4 linked regions of the Arabidopsis thaliana genome follow. The protein of the gene in region 1 interacts with the protein of each later gene in a pairwise test. Each region holds a gene or a part of one and is shown in the gene's direction. Other genes may lie near its edges.

Region 1 (7,223 bases):
ACATGTGTCTTTCTGTCTTTATTATTAAATGGTGCCTTTCTCTTTCTGTAGGCCCGGTCTACAAGATACTTTTCAAGTTCCGTCAAATTGGAATTCCACCAGGCTTTGATGTTAATCACTTAGGTAAAAAAAATTGCAGCCAATTTGTTTTCTTGTTTACCAGGCTTTGATTTTTTTACCAGGCTTTGATTTTAATGTCATCACAGCCACCGTGCCAATTTCATCGTGACTTCTTCTAATATGTCCTATGGTAATGTTGTGATCAGGTTGCGTGGGTGGCTGTGATGACATTCTTAAACAGTTGATAGACATCTGTGGAACTGGATCCCGTTCTCAAGGTTAGTGCTTTGTTGTTACGCAATACATATACCTTTGTATTAGACATCATACAATCTTTCTTTCATCATCTTCTGTCCTAAATGAGAATGCAAGAACTTTAGTATAGTGTCTTGCGAATAGAGAACATTTAGGCTAAAAAGAATCAATGATTTGTTCTTGCAGCAAGGAGAACTCCAGGTACTGCACCGTCAAACAATATCCAAGGAAGCAACACAAGACAGAGTAATGTCTGCATACATTGTCAGCAACGAGGACATGCTTCCACGAATTGTCCCTCACGGGTTCCAGCATCTCGAAATTCTCGTCCTACTGCAACAAATCCGAGAAACGGTACTGATCCTTGTATAATAGTTTAGCAAACAAAGATCATCGATTAGCTTTTGCTAGTATGTACTATATACTAGTCAAAATTCAAGCAAATTGTCCAGACCAAGTCTTCCTTATTGACATGTAATTTATATTCTAGTATTGTTGGTTATAATGCAGATGAAAGTACAGTATCATGTAACACTTGTGGATCACAATGTGTTCTTCGTACAGCCAACACAGAAGCTAACAGGGGAAGACAATTCTTCTCATGTCCAACACAAGGCTGCAGTTTCTTTGCGTAAGAGTCTGGTTTTACCCCAATTTCTTCGCATAATCCATTTTTTTTTCCTTTTACATCACTCAACACATCAGTTTTTTGTTTGCACTGCTTGTAAACAGATGGGAAGATAGCATAAACAACAGTAGTGGGAATGCAACAACAGGGTCTAATAGCGGCGGGAGCGGTAGACGTGGCAGCCGTGGTCGTGGCCGTGGAGGTAGAGGCGGCCAAAGCAGTGGAGGACGACGCGGCTCTGGAACAAGCTTTGTCTCTGCAACTGGAGAGCCAGTGAGTGGTATAAGGTGCTTCTCATGTGGCGATCCTTCACATTTTGCTAACGCTTGTCCTAATCGTAATAACTCTAACGGTAACTATTTCTAAGTCTACTTACTACGAACTTTGACTATGTATGTAGCATGATTAATTAGTGCTACTAACTTAATTTGGGTTTTTGTATTTTATTTTATTTTATTTTATGACCACTTTTTCTCTGGAATTCATCCTAATTTGCGTAGATCACTGTTAGCTGGATATTTTAAATATAATATTTCACGTGCTATTCTGAATCACTGAATAGTTTCCACCTATTTTATTTATAAATCTTGAATAGTCGTTTTTAATTTTTAGTTATGTTCTTAGTGAGCTAATGTGGATCCATATTTCATCATTTTTTTTGTATTGTCTCATAATTCATAATTCATACATCAACTATATCACTATGTATATGCCATTGATCTTGAGTCTAGACATGGTCAAGTAATAGATATTAACAAAATGCTTAAGCTACAAAGTTTAGTCCTCCGAATTTGTTTTTAGAGATGGTCAAGTAATAGATATTAACAACTGTTAATAACACAAACCACAGTCGTTTTGCTCTGTAAGAAAACGACACAACAACCGGAATAAACGCCGTTTTGTTGTTTAAAAACGGCACACCAATTTTCAGTCCATTTTGAACATAAAAGATTTAAAATTCTCAAATCGAAATTGAGATAACAGAGGATCCGGCGAGCTTCTCCGGCGTAGGATTCGGGTCATTTTCTTCGGCAACTATGAAAGGGAAAAAAAGAGAGAGAGAGGTGATTACTGATTAGGCCGTCTCCTGTGGAACAAGAACGCGTTTCTTCTTACATTCCTCATCGAAGGAGTTGTTGTAGCCACTTGAGGTACTTTTCATACTAATCTTGGAATTTGTATAGCTTGGTTCGGTATATTGAACAGTCAATTAGGTATCTTGCTGTGAATGATCAAGTGGGTACTTATCATTGCCTCTTCTTAGTAGTCTCATTACAAGACTGAAGTTTGGTCTCAAAATTGACAAGCTTCTCGAAGCATTTGTCCTTGGACTATAACTTATAGTCGAGCTTGTTGTCCCTTCTCCAGTTGTTATCTTGGTTGTCGTCTGTATATAGAAGATTAAAACAACTGTTTTGCTTGGAGTATAATTGATACTTTACAATAGAATAATAATGCACGAAATTGAGGTCGTGAGAGAATGAGGAAAGCCAAGTTCTCATGCCATGTCGGCCATCTCTATCTTGTTGATTTGAGTACTTAGAGTCTATTATAGCTTCAAAGTTACAAAAAGGACCATCATTTTTAAGCCTTGTAGTTCTCACTTTGACTAATTCATGGCTTACTTTATTTGTTGCTTCAAAGACAAAACGAATATTGAGTTTCTTTTTTACTTGAAATAAACAAAAGCAAAGCTGATAGGCTTCTGAAACTAATATTAAAAGACAGGCCAGTACTAATAGAAGACTTTTTTAATGAACAAATTTCAAACTTCAAAGCTTTCAATGATCAAAAAACTAATCATAGCTTGACCATTTCCTTTTTATATTGTTTTCCTGGAAAGAAGAAAAAAAGGTCTGCACCTCTTCTATTCTCTCTTTTTCCTTTCCTGAAACCAGTTTCAAAGGTTGTTTTCTTGCCTAGAATTTTCATAGCTATGTGTCTTGGATCCAGATCCATAGTTTAGTAGGGCCTGTATTCTTCTTTCAAATATGCTTGTTATGCTACATGATTTGAGTTTTTTTGGATGGTTTTATGGTATGTAGTCTTTAAGAGATGTACAAAGTGAGGTTTTTGCAGACATGATTACATCTTGTTTGATGTCTTCTAATGAAGATTTAAGGGCTTCTGTGTATGCATGAATGGTAAAGGAAATGATGAAGCTTGCTGTTTTTTTCATATCTCTTCTTCTTATCCTTCTGATCTCTGAGACAACAGGGTTGAACTTAGAAGGTCAATATCTTCTTGAAATCAAGAGCAAGTTTGTGGATGCTAAGCAGAATTTGAGAAACTGGAATTCAAATGATTCTGTACCTTGTGGATGGACTGGCGTGATGTGCAGCAACTATTCGAGTGATCCAGAGGTTTTGTCCTTGAATCTGTCTTCGATGGTTCTCTCGGGTAAGCTATCACCAAGCATAGGTGGATTGGTTCATCTGAAGCAGCTGGATCTGTCATATAATGGGTTGTCAGGGAAAATTCCTAAGGAAATTGGCAACTGTTCAAGCTTGGAGATTCTGAAACTAAACAATAACCAGTTTGATGGTGAGATACCTGTGGAAATAGGTAAGCTTGTGTCTTTGGAGAATCTGATCATATACAACAACAGAATCTCAGGGTCTCTCCCTGTGGAGATTGGGAACCTTTTGTCTCTCTCTCAACTGGTGACTTACAGTAACAACATCAGTGGACAATTGCCCCGTTCCATCGGCAACCTCAAGAGACTGACAAGCTTCCGAGCCGGTCAGAACATGATCTCTGGAAGTTTGCCTTCTGAGATTGGTGGATGTGAGAGCTTGGTCATGCTTGGTCTTGCACAGAACCAGTTGAGTGGTGAATTACCAAAAGAGATTGGAATGCTCAAGAAACTTTCACAGGTGATTCTTTGGGAAAATGAGTTCTCAGGGTTTATCCCCAGGGAGATTAGCAACTGCACAAGTTTAGAAACCCTTGCTCTCTACAAGAACCAGCTTGTCGGGCCAATCCCGAAAGAGCTCGGGGACCTTCAGTCGCTGGAGTTTCTCTACCTTTACAGAAACGGGTTGAATGGAACGATTCCAAGAGAGATTGGGAATCTCTCATATGCAATTGAGATAGATTTCTCGGAAAACGCTTTGACCGGAGAGATACCTTTGGAGTTAGGGAACATAGAGGGGCTTGAGCTTCTTTATCTTTTTGAGAACCAACTCACAGGTACCATCCCTGTGGAGCTTTCTACTTTGAAGAATCTATCAAAGCTTGATCTCTCCATCAATGCTTTAACGGGTCCTATTCCCCTGGGATTTCAGTATCTAAGAGGACTCTTCATGCTGCAGCTGTTTCAGAACTCCCTTAGCGGGACCATACCTCCAAAACTTGGCTGGTATAGCGATCTCTGGGTTCTTGATATGTCCGATAACCATCTCAGTGGAAGAATTCCAAGCTACCTCTGCCTTCACTCCAATATGATCATCTTGAACTTGGGTACAAACAACCTCTCTGGCAACATTCCTACTGGAATCACCACTTGCAAAACTCTGGTCCAACTTCGTCTAGCCAGAAACAACCTCGTTGGTCGGTTCCCATCCAACCTGTGTAAACAGGTTAATGTCACAGCCATCGAGTTGGGACAGAACAGATTCCGTGGTTCCATCCCTAGGGAGGTCGGGAACTGCAGTGCCCTACAAAGGCTGCAGCTAGCAGACAATGGCTTCACGGGGGAGCTACCTAGAGAGATTGGCATGCTTTCACAGCTTGGGACCTTGAATATCTCATCCAATAAGCTTACTGGAGAGGTCCCTTCTGAAATCTTCAACTGCAAGATGCTTCAGCGACTAGACATGTGTTGCAACAATTTCTCTGGAACCTTACCAAGTGAGGTAGGTTCCCTCTACCAGCTTGAGCTTCTGAAGCTCTCAAACAATAATCTTTCGGGTACAATACCTGTGGCTCTAGGGAACTTATCTCGCTTGACCGAACTACAAATGGGTGGAAACTTGTTCAACGGTAGCATTCCACGGGAGTTGGGCAGTCTGACGGGTTTGCAAATAGCATTGAACCTCAGTTATAACAAGCTTACCGGAGAAATACCACCTGAGCTCAGTAATCTTGTTATGCTTGAGTTCCTGCTCCTCAACAACAACAATTTGTCTGGGGAAATACCAAGCTCTTTTGCTAATCTCTCCAGCTTGCTTGGTTACAACTTCTCATACAACAGCTTAACTGGTCCTATTCCACTTCTCCGTAACATATCCATGTCTAGCTTCATCGGTAATGAAGGGCTTTGCGGCCCGCCGCTCAACCAGTGTATCCAAACACAGCCTTTCGCGCCTTCTCAGTCAACCGGGAAGCCCGGAGGAATGCGTTCGAGTAAAATCATAGCCATTACTGCAGCTGTGATTGGCGGGGTCTCTCTCATGCTGATTGCTCTCATTGTCTACCTCATGAGACGCCCAGTGAGAACAGTCGCTTCTTCTGCTCAAGATGGCCAACCATCGGAAATGTCTTTGGACATATACTTCCCTCCAAAGGAAGGATTCACGTTCCAAGATTTAGTTGCAGCCACTGATAATTTCGACGAGAGCTTTGTAGTTGGGAGAGGAGCTTGTGGAACCGTCTACAAAGCGGTTCTTCCAGCCGGGTACACTCTAGCTGTCAAGAAGCTGGCATCAAACCATGAAGGCGGCAACAACAACAATGTGGATAATAGCTTTAGAGCAGAGATTCTAACTCTTGGGAATATCAGGCACCGTAACATCGTCAAGCTACATGGATTCTGCAATCACCAAGGATCAAATCTGCTTCTGTATGAGTACATGCCCAAGGGAAGCCTTGGAGAAATACTTCATGATCCTTCATGCAACTTGGATTGGTCTAAGAGATTTAAAATCGCTTTAGGTGCGGCTCAGGGTCTCGCCTATTTGCACCATGATTGCAAGCCGAGAATCTTCCACCGGGACATAAAATCAAACAATATACTGCTTGACGACAAGTTTGAAGCTCATGTGGGAGATTTTGGACTAGCAAAAGTGATTGACATGCCACATTCTAAATCCATGTCTGCTATTGCTGGCTCCTATGGCTACATTGCCCCAGGTAAAGTTTTTGCTTTTGTTTGTGCAATTAAGTATCCAATGAGGGAACTGAAATTAAACTGTTTTAACAACTTTGCAGAATATGCATACACCATGAAAGTGACAGAGAAGTCTGACATCTATAGCTACGGGGTGGTTCTACTGGAGCTGCTAACCGGAAAAGCCCCGGTTCAGCCAATAGATCAAGGAGGAGATGTGGTGAATTGGGTGAGGAGTTACATAAGAAGAGATGCATTGTCCTCAGGAGTTCTTGATGCTCGGTTAACGCTAGAAGACGAGAGAATTGTCTCTCATATGCTCACTGTGTTAAAGATTGCACTTCTTTGCACAAGTGTGTCTCCAGTCGCGAGGCCATCGATGCGACAAGTTGTTCTCATGCTTATTGAGTCTGAGAGATCGGAAGGAGAACAAGAACATTTGGATACAGAAGAATTGACACAAACAACTACCCCATGACACAATACACATTCTTGTTGTATCTTCTTCTTTTTTCACACGAGATTATTCTTCTATGTAACCATGGCGAATAATTATTGTAAAGTCTATACGCACGCAGCTATATCAAAAGATATAAGCAGTATCTATATCTACAAGTTACCGTTAGGTTTAATTAATTAGTGTTAATCCAATCATTATCCATGGGACCCAAACGGTAATTACCGTTGTCTTTTTAGTATGAACAGGTAAATAGTAGTACTCTCTAACATTGGATATTGTTTTTGGTCATTGGATCATTTAATAGATCATAATTTAATACTATGGAAGTATCCATGTTATAATCAACTTGATTTTTCATAGTGATTAGGTCTATAAATTATTGTTAATTTAATGAAGACACCAATAATAATACGGTCACTTTTGCTCTGGAAATCATAATTAGCGTAGATCACGGTTAGCTGGATTTGTTATAAATATAATATTTCACGTGCTATTCTGAATCGTGCCCACCAGATTATATATCTAATCTCTTCTAGTTTTTAATTTTAGCTATGTGGTAGTGAGTTAATGTGGATCTGTTTTTCTCAATATTAATTTTGTTAAATAATTAGTCCTCTTAGTCTTCACTTCTCTAGGGATATGATTTTAAATCAAACGAAAAGATTCGAGTCATACTAAGACTTATTCGTACGCCATGAAAGTTTGAAAGGTCTTTTTTTCCTTTTCTTCAAACTGAAAATTCAAAATAAAGGATAGGATATGAATAATCG
Region 2 (5,582 bases), on another chromosome or scaffold:
TGAGAGTTTTCGCGGTGAAGGACCAAATTGGATCTTAATTGCTGGGGGTGCTTTGTTGAGTACATTGTCCATTCGTTTTGGCTACAAATTAAAGCAGTCTATTGACTCCAAACCTCCTCATTCCAATGCCACTGGTGGATTAAAACGTACTTATCTGGTTGTTTAGTGCTTACATGTCCTAGAATTCGCTTGTATTCTCTATCTTATTGGTAGGTTGTTTTGTTGTGCAGCTAATGGAACAACCGACAGAGGAAGATTTAAGGGCTGCTGCTTGCATTCTAATGCATCACCCTGTGAAAGGAATAATGATTGTTGCTTTCACTGCACTCCCGGTGAGAGTTTGTGAGTTTGTTATTCTTACTACTGAATTTGCTTATACATAACTTCACTTCACATAGTCTCTTACTGGGGTTTGATTTTGTGGTATCTTTGAAGTGAAAAGAGATTTTGGGAGATGTTGTCAAATAGTTGAAAGAATATGGAGATGGTTCTTACATATTTGTAGCCTCTAGTATCTTGCATAATGATCTTTGTAACCCAATCAGGAACAATATTTGACTAAAGATGTCTTTGTACCCCAATCAGGATTCATACTTAAGTAGCTACTTACGTTAATGAGCTGGAAACTATGAAGGCTGTAGTATTATCCCCCAATGATGGCTTGTGTTATGGCAGAAAAGTTTTGTGTGGGTGTTCTGAGAGTTGGCTTCTTATTTTCATTTATGCAGGAACTGAGAATGGGGAAGGAAATCATGCTACAAATGAGCAAATGGCAGAGTCCAGTACTTCTCTGCCTCTTGTGACAGTTCCTGCTTCATCATATAGCAAAGAGAGTGCAGTCGTATGGGGATCTTCTCCTGACCACCTGGAAGTGCCGATGAAAGCATACCATCAACATTCGACCTGCTCAGATTCTCCTTGCGTATCTGAATCCGGCTCAGACATCTTCAGCAAGCGAGAAGTAATACAGAAACTGAGGCAACAGCTGAAGAGACGTGACGACATGATAGTTGAAATGCAGGAACAGATTCTAGAGCTGCAAAACTCGCTAAACGCCCAGATGGGACACTCTAGCCATATCCAAACACAGCTAGACGCAACAAACAGGGACCTGTTTGAATCAGAAAGAGAAGTCCAGAGACTGAGAAAGGCAATCGCTGATCACTGCGTGGGACACACAGGTAGCAATGGTTGGAGTGGCGATGTGAACAGCGAAAACAACTACGAGTCACCAGAAAATGGAATAAGGGATGGAGAAAGAATAGAGATGTTGAGAAAAGAAGTGGGTGAGCTTAAAGAAGTGATAGATGGGAAAGAGTATCTACTTAGGAGCTATAAGGAGCAGAAAACAGAGCTTTTGCAGAAGGTAAAAGAGTTGCAGCAGAGACTGGACTCGCAGCTCCCAAACATTTTGTAGGTGAAGAAGGTTAGGCATTGTGCATTCTTACCACTCTCTTTTGTTTCCCCGAGTAAAAAATATGAATCTTTGTTCAAAAATATCTCAATTTCTCCGGGGAAACTTATCAACTGACTACATTGTTTTGGGTGTCAATTATGATTTTATCCAAATTGTTTTTTTCTCTTGGTGAAGTGGATATTCGAAAGTTGCAAACTCATACAATATCGTGTCTCAAGGCTTAAATTGTAGAATTGCAGTTGAAGTTTTTTACAAGAAAGTTGGTTACTTGTTCTTAAGGAAAGAGAAAGAAGGGTTGCTAAAATTTAATTTGGCACTTATTTCAGTCAGGTTTTGATATTCATAAGGAAGAAAATCGTTAGAGAAGGAAGGACCAAATATTTAATTTTGTAGTTGTCACATAGTGAAGAAGACAAAAGAAAAATGTATCATCACATTAGCTGGTAGTGACTTAAAATAGAAAAAAAAAAATAATCAACAGAAAGTGCAAACATTTACACATGGATAAAGATGTCAAATGTTCATTCATACTCAAATTATCTATTAAATTTCATTACTAAAAAATTGAAATCGTAAAGAAGAAAAGAAAGAAGAAAAAAACATATGAGCTGAGTTTGTTAACCACCGTGAGCGTCATCCATGGGACGTGGTTGACGCGTGCGTGATTTTATTTTAATAAATGAATTAACAGTGGAAGGAAAAAACAACAACGGAGCTGTAACTGTGAGGCGCCGTCTCTCTTCAACCTCTTCCCCTCCACTTTGCTTCTCTCTCTCCTCCCCGGGGGTTTTACAGTCATATCATCGTCGGAGACTCTGCGATTCTTCACGGAATCGTATTTCTCTCTCAGCGATTTTTTTCGATTCTCGAAGCTGCAAGGACCACCCATCAAACATTGAAACTCAAGCGGGAGAAATTTTCTGGCTCGGGAGGGAAACTATGGAGCCCTAATGCCCATTTTCTGCTGTCTATGAGGTTTTTTAAAGAGTCCTTTATACTCTCCCTGTTTTTGGGTGCTTCGCTCGCTCACTGATTTTTGATTCGTCGGAAAATCTATTTTCGAGCTCGGATTTATGTAATTCCTTATTCTCCTTCTGATTGCGATTGTTGTGTTCATTAAGGGTTGTTGGGATATCGATTAACGGCCCCTATCGAAAAAAATAAGGGTTGTTATTATTTTCATTTCGCTTCATGTTCAAGGCAAGTATCTATCTCTTCTTCTTGCTTTTGTAGTTTTAGAATCTAAATCCCATGGCATCAACGTTTCGATTACTCTTTCAGGGAACTCCATTTTTCTTGCATTTGCTTTTTTTGAGGTAGAGTCTGTGCTCCTATATGATTCCATGGATTCGTCGTATACTTTCTCAACTGAGAATGTTTGACTTAGAGAATCTTCCATTTTTTTTTTTGTCTTTCTCTTTTCAGTGTTACTATCATTTTAGATCTTTTTTTTGTTTTTCCTTCTCTGGTTGACTGTGTTTGAGGTAATGCTCAAAACGTGATTCTTTGTGCTCATTATCTTTTCATATTCTAGTTTCTGGAATCTTTCTGGGTATTAAGCATTTGATGATTTTAAAATTGTATATTTGTTGATTTTATTGAGTTGACACCAGGTTTCTTGTTGACATATGCCCAATTCATTCTGATCGTTGATGATGATTGATTCTTGTATCCGTTCAATGTAGGTTATGTTTGGATGATAGATACATTTTGACTTTCTCATACAATGAGTACACGAAGAAATGGCATTTCCAAGCATCAGCGAGGTGATAAATTTTGTGGTGAAGGGCCAAACTGGATACTAATTGCAGGGGGTGCATTGTTGAGCACATTGTCCATTCGCTTTGGATACAAGCTAAAGCAGTCGCTTGATTCGAAACCTCAATCAAATGGCTCTGCTGGATTAAAACGTACTTACTTTATCGCTGTGTTGCTTAACATGTTTTATAATTTGGTTCTAGTTTTTTTCTATCACTAAATGAAAGCCTCTTGTGCAGCTAATGGAACATCTGAGAGGCAAAAATCTACAAGCTGTTGCTTACACTCTACCACATCTTCCTGTACACAAAATAATGATTTTTGTTGCTTCCGCTCCATTCCAGGTGTGACTTTGTAACTTTCTGTTTTGCCTCATACATATTTGTTCAATCTACTAAACAAACGCTATATGCTTGTTTCTTGGTCTCGCATCATGTCTTACTGGGTTTCCTTTCATGAAGTTAAAACGATGTGTGATATATAGTAAAATCTAGTTGGGAGAATGTGTAGATGTTGTTATAGAGTTCTAGCCTCTGTTATCTTACCTCATGATGTATTTGTCAACTAGGGGAATCCAATTCGAAGTTATGGAATGAGTAAAATAGTTACAAGATTTGCCACCTTGCAATAACTGGTTGAATCGAATATCTCTTGTTTCGTTGTGGCATATTACCATTAATTTGCATCAATTGGGCTGGCAACTAGGGAAGCAGGTTTTCTCCATTGATGGCTGTGTCTAGTGGCTGAATGCTAAAAACAGTTACTAGTTTTGTTATCTACCAAGACCTCGTTAAGCATAGTTACAAGTTTTGTACTATTAGATCCAGACCTGAGTTATGTTTTCTCTTTGGAAAATCTCTGAATCCTAATATTCATGTAGTCCAGAGCAAACAGTCGTGTATGGATCTTATCAGCCTTTGCTTCTTTATTTTTATAGGAACTGAGAGTGTGGAAGGAAAAGAGGTGACAAGCGAGCAAATGATATCCGCATCTGACACTTCACTGCCTCTTGTGACAGTTCCTGCTCCATCGAGCAAAGAGAATGGAGTCATGTGGGCAACTTCTCCTGATCGCCTGGAACTTCCCCCAAGACCATACAATCACAATTCAAACTGCTCAGATTCTCCTTGCGTATCTGAAACCAGCTCAGACATTTTCAGCAAACGAGAAGTAATACAGAAACTAAGGCAGCAGCTGAAGAGACGGGATGACATGATACAGGAAATGCAAGAACAGATTCTAGAGCTGCAAAACTCGTATAACGCACAGACGGCACACTCAAGCCATCTCCAGGCACAGCTAGACACACTGAACAGAGATCTGTTTGAATCAGAAAGAGAAGTTCAAAGACTGAGAAAGGCAATTGCTGATCACAGCGTGGGATGTGGCGCGGACAGCAATGGCAAGACATCTCCGGTTGGACCTTGGAATGGCGGGTTTATGGACAGCGAAAGCAATTATGAGTCACAAGAAAAGAGCCTAAGGGATGGAGAAAGAGTAGAGATGTTGAGAAAGGAAGTGAGTGAGCTTAAAGAAGTGATAGATGGGAAAGAGTATCTACTTAGAAGCTATAAGGAGCAGAAGATTGAGCTTTCGCAGAAGGTAAAAGAGTTGCAGCAGAGACTGGACTCACAGCTCCAAAACTTATTGTAGGTGGAAAGGTTAGGCATTGTGCATACTTGCGTCTCTTATTTTTTTTTTCGGTTCTTTTTCCTTTTTCGAGAAAATGAATCTTAGTATGTACTAAGAACGGTGGAGATCAAGATTTTCAGGTTCTTTCTGGCTTTCTGCTTTCGTTTTTGAATGTCTTGATTCTGTTTTTTCTTTCAACATTTGGTGTAAAGGTAAATAGATAGTTGTTGAAGAATTTACCGCGGGAATAGCTCTCTACTTTTTTTTTTTTTTTATTCTCCGTAATTGGTAACTAACCCGATAATTACAAACGCCACGTATAAGGATGTGTTCACTAGAAGAATTAGCCAATTTTAACACAAATGATAAATAGTATAAACAAATTTTAAATTTATAAATAGACGCAACATACATTATTATTTTTAAGATACAGTTAAAATAAAATTGTTAGCAATTATGCTTATTCTGAAATTTTGGGTTTGAATATAAATAAGAAATAGAGTTTTATCCTAATAAGATTTATATAAATAAACATATAAAGTCAAAGTCATACTTTATCCTCTCAGAGGCCGTCTCTCGGGTTTTGCTGGTCTTCCTTGCTCCTCTCGCTTTTGAATGGAGATGTGAGCTTTCTTCATTCAAAGAGCAAAACTATCTAATTCCATGGCGTTCTCCCTCCTCTCTCCAATTCCTACCTCTGCCTCTCTTTTTTTCACTCTCTCCGCCATTACCGCTTCTAATAATGCTTCCTCCTCCTCTCTCTCCCGTCTTTACT
Region 3 (4,563 bases), on another chromosome or scaffold:
GATGGCACGTAAGTCATCCGCATGTTTCTGGATTGTTGCTAATTCAATTTTCTAGCTTTATAATTGATAACCACTAACAACCTTACAGGCGTTCAGGTGGTGAAAAGATAAATTCTGTGTTCGACAATCAATTCCCAGCTGCCATTAAAAGACTGCAATTCGACAAACATCTCTCCATGGACAATGTACGGAAACTGATCACTGAAGCAGATGGATATCAACCTCATCTCATAGCTCCTGAACAAGGTTATCGCCGGCTCATAGAATCATGCTTAGTCTCCATTAGAGGCCCTGCTGAAGCAGCTGTTGATGCGGTTCATTCCATTCTCAAGGATCTTATCCACAAATCCATGGGCGAAACATCTGTAAGAATATCTCTGCTCAAAGTCATAAACCCAACAACAACAATAACACTTATGAGTTTTGAAGCATGATTATGTGTTTTCATCATGACTACAGGAACTGAAGCAATATCCAACACTCAGAGTAGAAGTATCAGGTGCAGCCGTGGATTCATTGGATCGAATGAGAGACGAAAGCAGGAAAGCAACTCTGTTACTAGTGGACATGGAGTCTGGTTACTTAACGGTCGAGTTCTTCAGGAAACTCCCGCAAGATTCTGAAAAAGGTGGGAATCCGACACATTCGATATTCGACAGATACAACGATGCTTATCTCCGAAGAATCGGCTCAAATGTGTTGTCATATGTGAACATGGTCTGCGCTGGCTTGAGAAACTCCATACCGAAATCCATTGTTTACTGTCAAGTCCGTGAAGCAAAACGAAGCCTTCTAGACATCTTCTTCACCGAACTTGGCCAGAAAGAGGTAACAATAAAGATATACTAAAAAACCTATATGAGCAAATTGACAATTGTATAAGATACGAGTAAGAATGTTAAAATGGTTTGGTGTTAAAAATTATAGATGAGCAAATTGTCGAAATTGTTGGATGAGGATCCTGCGGTTCAGCAGCGAAGGACTTCGATTGCGAAGAGGCTGGAATTGTATAGAAGTGCTCAAACGGATATTGAAGCAGTTGCTTGGTCCAAGTAGAGAGACGAGACCCTCTCTTCACACTCCATTTTTTGTTTCTTTAGGATACGTTTCCTTCTACATTTTTTTGTCTCTTTTTTTTTTCCATTTGTCATTGTATTCGGTGTTCGAGTTATCATTGTTTCTGAATAAAAGTTTTTGTAAGACGATGGTTGGCGCAGTAGAATATGGTTGACCAAATTATTTTTCAAAAAATAAATAGATTTCATGGACTGAAGAAACATATGACGTGATCTCCTCTCTGTTTTAAACCACCGGAAAGAGAGAACAAAAGGAGCAAGCAAACAGAAGAAGAAGAGCAAACAGAAGAAGAAGAGCAAACTAAAATTAAAAAAATCAACAAAATTGGAGATGCGGGGAATCGAACCCCGTGCCTCTCGCATGCGAAGCGAGCGCTCTACCATATGAGCTACATCCCCATATTGGCTAACTTATTATGTTAATCCCTTTTATTATGTTAAAGTTGAATAATTTTGAATTATGATATCGATTACATAAAACGCTTAGTCGTTGACTGATACCGATCCCGCCATGCGTAATAGTAATACTGTTTAAATTGTTTTACATTACCATTTTGCAATTGCAACACAATACCTTTTTTCTCATTTGAGTTTGTGTTTTACAACGAACAAATGAAATTGTTTGTTTGTGTGATTGGTACTCATGGAAGCTGTAAAGCTGTACTCATTGGTTAATTTATTATTGTTTACTTTGTTTCCAAGTTCCCTTCCAATATCTCCTCCAAGAAAAGAAAAGATGATGTTGATCGTGGCACTATCCTGACCAAATATACCTAATGAGTAATGATTCAGACTAAGACTGATCCACTTCCCACTATGGTCCAGTTTACGACCCCACTCTCTCGCTCCCATCTCTGTCTTCTTCTTCTTTTTTTCCCTAAATAAGCAAAGTAAAAAACTCCAGATTGTCCATATCTTAAAAATCTATTCGTAATTTCTCAACCTCAAATAGCAATTGCCAATTGTTTTAACTGGCAAAGAAAAAGCAATAATTTCATAGCATCTTGGTATTTTTCTGTCGGTTCACGTGTCGATTTAGTGACAGAGGGGACATAAATTGTCCGATACTTAACCAGTGAAACATCAACTCCAAGTATCTTTCTCAAAATCCAACCGGAGCTGATTTAAAACAATTTGATGATTATGATTGATCTCCATCTCCAACCACTTTCACCACCAAACTCAATCACTCTTCTTCTTCTTCAAGTAACCATCACCCAAAAAGCTTCCATTGTTCCTCGCTCCTTCTCGTCTCTGTTTCGATTCCAACCATGAAAACTTTGGTCGGATTTTACATCCTCTGTTTCTTAATCGGACAAGATCTGCCTTTCTTAGCTGCAGATGACGTCAATGTCATAAACGATTCGACCCAGAATCTCTGTTTTGCAAACCGATTATCCGATTTCCTCCCTCCACCGTACAGCAATATCTCCGATAACATGCCCTGTACTCCTCTTTGGAACACGTTCGTCTTACGGGTAAACCGAAAAACATAAACCAACTTTTCCTAAAACCCATAATTTTGATTTTCAACGCTGCTTGCTCTGTTTTGCAGTACTCAGAAAACAGAGACAATGTGATGACGATTATAGTATCGGCTTTATACACAACCGGGTGGGTTGGGATTGGATTCTCGAAAGAAGGAAGAATGGTTGGATCAAGCGCGATGATCGGATGGATTTCGAAAAAGGGTCACGCCAAAATCAAACAATACTATCTCCAAGGAACGGAGAGAGACCAAGTTGTGCCGGATCAAGGAGAATTGCAACTACAAAAAGTCCCGCCGGTGGTGGCTCTTCACGGAGCAATGATTTACTTAGCTTTCCAGGTGAAATTCGCCGTTAGAGTTCCTCGGAGAGCTGTCATTCTAGCGTTTAGCACTGCTTATCCTTCCAAGCTAGGCCGTTTGACTAAGCATGATGATAAAACTACAGTCATCGTCGATTTTTCCAAAGGTAATATAATGTATATACTAGTCTAATCTATACATGTTAAAAACAGGGGAGAGTTCAATAGTTGTATGTTCTTGGTCAATGCAGCTAGTGGAGCAACCTCCATAAAGACGACAACTTCTACGGAGAAGACAAAACATGGAGTAATGGCGATACTCGGATGGGGTTTCTTACTTCCTGTAGGGGCAATCCTAGCAAGATATCTAAGACATAAAGACCCTCTTTGGTACTATCTTCATATCGGTTTTCAGTTCACGGGCTTTATCTTCGGTTTAGCCGCAGTTATTCTTGGGATTCAGCTTTACAATAGGATCCAGCCGGATATACCTGCGCATCGAGGCATTGGGATCTTTCTTCTAGTCCTTAGCACTCTTCAGGTTTTGGCTTTCTTTGCACGGCCACAGAAGGAGACAAAGATGAGGAGATATTGGAATTGGTATCATCATTGGATTGGGAGGATCTCTCTCTTTTTTGGAGCAGTGAACATTGTTCTTGGAATTCGAATGGCGGATAATGGAGGAGATGGATGGAAAATTGGATATGGATTTGTTCTGTCAGTCACGTTACTTGCTTTTGTTGTTCTTGAAATATTCAGGATTCGTGGCACTATCGGCTCACCATCTTCTCGCAGCCCTCCCTCTTTTGAGACACATCCAAGTTCTAGTACTAGTGTTTGATTCAAGATCTTCTGTTTTTTTTTTCTTGTACATAAAGGTACTTTTTTTGTTTTCCCCATAATCATTGGTCACTGATTTTATAGTCCATATGTGTTGTAATTTTTTTTTTTTTTTTTTGGTTCGGCAATATGATTTTCAAGTGGAAATCGGTCTTGGTTTAGACTTTAGAGCAACATGGTGATATTTGTTTTTTTAAGGTTTGTTTCTTTTTGGATCTCAATTTGTTGTCATGTAAGTTGAGTTTTGAAGGTTGTTGTTCCTGGAAAGTGAAATATACGTAATTCTTTAATTCCTTATGAGTTTGTAAATGTGCATAGACGTCCCTAGACCCTAAGGCTAACATTATGGAGCGATTAACAAAAATATGGTCCTTTTGTATGCAAATGCAATCTCTCATCTTTCATATAAATCATGAACGTATAATTGGATGATAAGTTTTGAGTCTTATTTGAAATGAAAAAAGGATCATCTTCCTCCATTGTCTGGTAATGTCAAAATGTTGTTGCATGAGAAACATACAGTGTTCATATTGGGCCTAACTCGAAGTTGTTTCTTTTATTAATTGTCAAAATGTTCCACGAGAAACATCGTAGGCCCAATATGTAGCCCAACAAGCTTCGATTTTTCTAAATAAGTTGTGTGACAAGAAGAAAAACGAGAGAGTTATTTATTGATGCGCCACGTCAGATTTGATGAAAAGGAAGATTTCGACTTGGCGCTCTCGTACGCCTGAAAATTCGCAGTCTTCCCTCGTCCCCAATCCCTGGAGCCAAACACTGTTCCATTCAACCGCCACGTCAGCATATTCGTTTTTTTTATTTTCGTTTTTATTATTTGTTTAGGCGAATTAATTTCAGA
Region 4 (5,919 bases), on another chromosome or scaffold:
GACTCTTTGAACTTAAGTTGTGTCCAATTGTGTCAGTCATAAATATGAACACGTGTTAAATATTATAGAGAAAGATTTGAGTTTTTACAATCTTATAATCCACTCTCCATAGTTTATATATGTACATGCACGATCAGTTTTAACTAATAATCATAAACATATATGTACATGTACAATCAATCTCATATGCAATCAAAGTAAATATAAATTAAAAAAAATGTATATATGGATCTCGTTTAGTTTAAATTCTAAACGTATATTGTCGAAGGAGAAAAACTATAATTTTGTTTGTGTATATTGATTGATTCTTCAGTAATTTCTTCAACTATTCTGATATATATATATATATATATATATATATATATCTACTTGCAATCATAGTTTAAAGATGTTATTTCTGTTAGATGTTTAATCTTGTTTTTTTCTGTCAGTAGTCTTTAATCACGTGCCAAGTAAGCAAAACACTCTCATTATTTTAAAGAATGTTGATTAAATAAACATTCGATGGGCGATGGCTATTGGAAACTGGAAAGTCAGCTAAATACAACAATTTTCCACTTAACATTCTAATTATCTAACTATTAATTATTAATCATTGCTGCATGCCTCTGTTCAACTGTACAGGCTGTTTTCGAATATTTTGTAGAGTACAACTTATCAAAAAATCCCAAACTCTTTTATCTGACAATAATATTTTAAGATATAAGAAATAGTCATAGTATCATATTTTTCAAACTATACAATTTTTATAATTTCATTAAAAGGCAAAATAAAAACCAGGTTACGTAATTAATTTAATAGTCAAATGTTTGCTACAATAATATATTTACAATTCTAGTTACATCTAAGTGTAATAAAATTACAATTCCATTATAGATAGTATAATGGATGATAAAACTTTTGTACAGTTGATAGTAAGAAAATTTAATAAAATATAGGATATTAACAAGAAAAAAAAAACAAAAAAAAAAAAACACGTTAATGGGTAAACTTCGAAACTGAAATTTTTGTAGAAAAAAACAATCACATCATCAATGTATCTTTCAAAATAATGTTTTGACAACTTATCAGTCACTTTTAATTGGGTGTGTTAGAAATAGAGGTACAGTTTAAAGTTTTTATTAGGTTTTGGGTGGTAAGGTGTGTTAGAAATCAGTTTATTTTTTAATCAGTCATTGGTGGTGGTGGAAAATATCATTTTCAAATTTCAAGTAGCAATTATGGGTGAAATTTCTTGTATAAATTTCAAGTAGCAATTAATATATCTTTTTTTATATATAGAAAATTTACATTTTGGTAAAAATTTAAATTAAAAAAAGGAGCATGGTTATATCTTGAATCTTGGTATCTACGAGCATATTATTTAGATATAACAAACAAGTTGGGAATAGACAAAACAAAATGACGAACTTTCCAACGAAAGATCCCATTATAGTAATGTTATTCTTATTTATACTTATACAATCTCTAGTGGCTTCCAAAGTACACAAAATGGGAGTATTATACCAACAAAAATAAACGACTAATGAATCAAAAAATTCAAAATTTGCTTTATTTTATTCTGAAAATCTAACGAGCTGAAACCAAAATGTTATAGATTTAAAATAGAAACAAAACACCGATGATTGACCCAATAAAAAGCAAAATAAAGTAGACCAAAAAGAATAATGGTTATGCTGATAATTGAGGAGTCGTCGTCACTCGTCACATGAGAGGAACAACAAGAAAAGTCAAAACGTTGAAGCTTTCTCGAATAACGCCTTCTTTAGTTTACAGTCTCTCGTTGCGGGTCTTATCTTCTTCTTCTTCTTCCCTCTTTCGTCTGCTCTATATTATGACCAGATTCAAAATTGCGTAGCGTACTAATTCAATATAGAGAGAAGTTAGATCAAAAGAAGAACACGAAACTCTGACTGTGTCTCTCTTTCTCTTCGTGTGTTTCTATATTTATATATAAAAAGACAAGATCTCTGGTCTGGAATTAGAAGAATCTTATTTGGGGTTTTTTCTTAGGATTAAGCTCTAATGGCAGATCAAGTAAAAGAGCGGACTTTAGAGGAGACCTCTACGTGGGCAGTTGCTGTTGTTTGCTTTGTCTTACTCTTTATTTCGATTGTCCTCGAACATTCTATTCACAAAATTGGAACCGTAAGTCTCTTTATATTTCTCCTTATTTCAAGATTCCCCTGTTTCTTGCTCTGCTTTCTGCTCTGTTTCTTTAATTACTGCTCTGTTTTTTTGGATTTGTTTAGTTCTTCTCCTATCACTATCAACACTACTAAATCTGTGAGAATAACGAAAATATCTGATCATTCCTTTTTTTGTGCCTTAAACAGTGGTTTAAAAAGAAGCACAAGCAGGCTCTTTTTGAAGCTCTTGAAAAGGTCAAAGCAGGTAACTATCTTTTTCTACTTAACTTGATCCATTATCAACAAGCTTCTTATCTTTTTCTACTTAACTTCATCCATTAACAAGCTCCTGATTTTGTTTTCTACGTAACTTCATTCAGAGCTTATGCTGTTGGGATTCATATCACTACTACTCACAATTGGACAAACACCAATCTCAAATATCTGCATCTCCCAGAAAGTTGCGTCAACAATGCACCCTTGCAGTGCTGCTGAAGAAGCTAAAAAATACGGCAAGAAAGACGCCGGAAAGAAAGATGATGGAGATGGAGATAAACCCGGTCGAAGACTTCTTCTTGAGTTAGCTGAATCTTATATCCATAGAAGAAGTTTAGCCACCAAAGGCTATGACAAATGTGCAGAGAAGGTAACTAATAATCTCCCTTCTCTCTCTATATAAAAATCATTCTCTGCTTGTTAAACCGATGGAATTTTGATTTCTATTGATGGATTTACTCAGGGGAAAGTGGCTTTTGTATCTGCTTATGGAATCCACCAGCTGCATATATTCATCTTCGTGCTCGCGGTTGTTCATGTTGTTTACTGCATTGTTACTTATGCTTTCGGAAAGATCAAGGTAACTAACATTTCTTGTGACTTACGCAGTTGTTAAGGCGAGAAAAAGAGTGTATGCAAAAGATTTTTATACTTGTTTTCTTGAGTATTGCAGATGAGGACGTGGAAGTCGTGGGAGGAAGAGACAAAGACAATAGAGTATCAGTATTCCAACGGTATGTAAATATGTGAGTATTCGACGAAACTTAAAGACCTGAATGGGAATGAATTAGTCTTGTTATGCAGATCCTGAGAGGTTCAGGTTTGCGAGGGACACATCTTTTGGGAGAAGACATCTCAATTTCTGGAGCAAGACGAGAGTCACACTATGGATTGTTTGTTTTTTTAGACAGTTCTTTGGATCTGTCACCAAAGTTGATTACTTAGCACTAAGACATGGTTTCATCATGGTATGGAATTTATTCTTTTTATCTATTGTTCATTATAACATGTATCTCTCAAAGACAATGATCTAACATTCTACATATTTCAGGCGCATTTTGCTCCCGGTAACGAATCAAGATTCGATTTCCGCAAGTATATTCAGAGATCATTAGAGAAAGACTTCAAAACCGTTGTTGAAATCAGGTTTGGATCTAATAATGATTGCTTTATAAAGTCTGAGCAAAGCCAATTTGGATATTTTATCTTAAATCTCTGCCAACTTTATGCAGTCCGGTTATCTGGTTTGTCGCTGTGCTATTCCTCTTGACCAATTCATATGGTAACGTTCATTGCTTACTCGCAAAAACTACATTTTAGCTGCATCAATAGTCGCACAAAAGTGACATCGGTTTTCTTTTGAAACAGGATTACGTTCTTACCTCTGGTTACCATTCATTCCACTAGTCGTAAGTACAAACAAACTCTTGAACCGATTTTGTCTTTTTGCCGCCAGTTTTGTAACAGAGTGAAAATATATAACTGCAGGTAATTCTAATAGTTGGAACAAAGCTTGAAGTCATAATAACAAAATTGGGTCTAAGAATCCAAGAGAAAGGTGATGTGGTGAGAGGCGCCCCAGTGGTTCAGCCTGGTGATGACCTCTTCTGGTTTGGCAAGCCACGCTTCATTCTTTTCCTTATTCACTTGGTCCTTTTTACGGTACAATACTTGTATCCTTCACCGCTCGTTTTTTCGATCTTTTTCGGGTTTTTTCTCCTAACGGTAGAATAAATTTTCTTATCTTTGCAGAATGCATTTCAACTTGCATTCTTTGCCTGGAGTACGGTAAGCGAGCCATTTCATTTTCTTTGAAAACATCGCTGTTACGGGCTATACTAATTGTTATGTCATAAATTTTCTGTATTTGCAGTATGAATTCAATCTCAATAATTGTTTCCATGAAAGCACTGCAGATGTGGTCATTAGACTTGTAGTTGGGTAAGCTAACATTATCTTGACTATTGATTCTTCTGAGAATTTGTCCTTTAACTGAAAAAGTATAATCCCCCTTTTTATAAATCTTGCAGAGCTGTTGTGCAGATACTTTGCAGCTATGTGACTCTTCCACTCTATGCACTTGTTACTCAGGTACTAGAAAACATTAGTGTTACATGGATGCCAGATTTTGGTTATATGATCTTTAGTTTTTTTTACATTGTGTTGAATGAAAATTGTGTGCAGATGGGTAGTAAAATGAAGCCAACAGTATTCAACGATAGAGTAGCCACGGCATTAAAGAAGTGGCATCACACTGCAAAGAACGAGACGAAACACGGAAGACACTCGGGATCCAACACACCTTTCTCTAGCCGTCCAACCACACCAACACATGGCTCATCTCCAATCCATCTCCTTCACAATTTCAATAACCGGAGCGTTGAAAATTACCCAAGTTCTCCTTCTCCTAGATACTCTGGTCATGGTCATCATGAACACCAATTTTGGGATCCTGAGTCTCAACACCAAGAAGCTGAAACTTCCACACATCATTCTCTTGCGCATGAAAGCTCAGAACCTGTTCTTGCATCTGTGGAACTTCCTCCTATAAGGACTAGCAAAAGCTTAAGAGATTTTTCTTTTAAGAAATGATGATTCTTGTTTGCTATATTTGATTTCGTACAGTGGGAAATTTGTCATATGAAAATAATTTCTTGTACATTACTAGTTGGATAAGAAATAACCATATCTATATGGATACATGATATGTTATTCTCTGGCAATGCTTAAGAGTTTCACGAATTACACATACATTTGTATTTCTGCAGGTTTTAACGTCCTGAGACATCAGTGATGGTGACATTGTTGATAGAGGCTTTAAGAGCAATGCTCTCAGAGAACTCAGCTTCTAAACCAACGTTTCTAGGCATAAAAGCAGGCTGTTTCGGTTCTGGAATGTCTGCAACCTCACTGCTAAGCATCATACACACTGTAGAAACACTTGGCCTATCATTAGCAGCGTCTTGCACACACAAAAGCGCAATGTGAACGCATTTTCGTATTTCTTTCTCAAAAAGTTGGTCAAAAATCTCAGGATCTACCATACCATTAATCTCCCCTTCGTTCCAGATTGACCACACCTATGAAACATAGAAGCTTTGATGGCTTGATGACAATCTCAAGAGAGTTAAGAAACTTTACGAGTTAAAGTAGACTCACATGAGCCAAAAGAGTTGAATGTGAGTTTCTTCTTCCACTGATAATCTCTAAGAGTATCACTCCTAAGCTGAAAACATCAGATTTCTCTGAAAACAGTCCTCCCATTGCATATTCAGGTGCCATATAGCCACTGCACGATACATTTATTTTCTCGGTTTTAGGACTCTTAATGGAAAAAAAAGATGTAAACATATGGTTGAATGGAGTTACATACTATGTTCCAACGACCCTTCTGGTGTTTGCTTCATCTTCATTCCCCGGGAATATCCTGGCCAACCCAAAATCAGATATTTTCGGAATCAGATTCTCATCTAGCAAGATGTTGCTTGCTTTCAGATCTCTGTGAATGATTCTC

The links.
Region 2: the proteins of AT5G63930 (region 1) and AT4G27610 interact in a protein complementation assay, tested with the Arabidopsis thaliana proteins (one large-scale study listed by BioGRID).
Region 3: the proteins of AT5G63930 (region 1) and AT3G61750 interact in a protein complementation assay, tested with the Arabidopsis thaliana proteins (one large-scale study listed by BioGRID).
Region 4: the proteins of AT5G63930 (region 1) and MLO2 interact in a protein complementation assay, tested with the Arabidopsis thaliana proteins (one large-scale study listed by BioGRID).

The regions. Positions count from the first base shown.
Region 1 is NC_003076.8:25,579,922-25,587,144, forward strand, and holds AT5G63930 (Leucine-rich repeat protein kinase family protein), read left to right. Parts: upstream 1-1,774; 5' UTR 1,775-3,084; coding exon 3,085-6,016; intron 6,017-6,094; coding exon 6,095-6,471; 3' UTR 6,472-6,699; downstream 6,700-7,223. Other genes in the region: TOP3A (topoisomerase 3alpha), read left to right, coding at 52-123, 267-338, 502-669, 826-946, 1,048-1,309.
Region 2 is NC_003075.7:13,784,894-13,790,475, reverse strand, and holds AT4G27610 (intracellular protein transporter), read left to right. Parts: upstream 1-1,960; 5' UTR 1,961-2,392; exon of another isoform or gene 2,393-3,102; 5' UTR 3,103-3,143; coding exon 3,144-3,327; intron 3,328-3,414; coding exon 3,415-3,519; intron 3,520-4,112; coding exon 4,113-4,828; 3' UTR 4,829-5,063; downstream 5,064-5,582. Other genes in the region: AT4G27620 (intracellular protein transporter), read left to right, coding at 1-146, 231-332, 729-1,417; NARA5 (pfkB-like carbohydrate kinase family protein), read left to right, coding at 5,471-5,582.
Region 3 is NC_003074.8:22,857,039-22,861,601, reverse strand, and holds AT3G61750 (Cytochrome b561/ferric reductase transmembrane with DOMON related domain-containing protein), read left to right. Parts: upstream 1-1,932; 5' UTR 1,933-2,347; coding exon 2,348-2,554; exon of another isoform or gene 2,555-2,631; coding exon 2,632-3,031; intron 3,032-3,115; coding exon 3,116-3,705; 3' UTR 3,706-4,025; downstream 4,026-4,563. Other genes in the region: DL1B (DYNAMIN-like 1B), read left to right, coding at 1-8, 89-365, 460-828, 928-1,056. UniProt on the Arabidopsis thaliana protein: May act as a catecholamine-responsive trans-membrane electron transporter.
Region 4 is NC_003070.9:3,799,977-3,805,895, reverse strand, and holds MLO2 (Seven transmembrane MLO family protein), read left to right. Parts: upstream 1-1,662; 5' UTR 1,663-2,025; coding exon 2,026-2,148; intron 2,149-2,200; exon of another isoform or gene 2,201-2,336; coding exon 2,337-2,394; intron 2,395-2,509; coding exon 2,510-2,775; intron 2,776-2,868; coding exon 2,869-2,985; intron 2,986-3,078; coding exon 3,079-3,139; intron 3,140-3,209; coding exon 3,210-3,373; intron 3,374-3,456; coding exon 3,457-3,551; intron 3,552-3,637; coding exon 3,638-3,687; intron 3,688-3,773; coding exon 3,774-3,814; intron 3,815-3,893; coding exon 3,894-4,067; intron 4,068-4,157; coding exon 4,158-4,193; intron 4,194-4,278; coding exon 4,279-4,346; coding exon of another isoform or gene 4,347-4,350; exon of another isoform or gene 4,351-4,435; coding exon 4,436-4,496; intron 4,497-4,589; coding exon 4,590-4,997; 3' UTR 4,998-5,176; downstream 5,177-5,919. Other genes in the region: AT1G11303 (G-type lectin S-receptor-like Serine/Threonine-kinase), read right to left, coding at 5,177-5,485, 5,565-5,694, 5,779-5,919.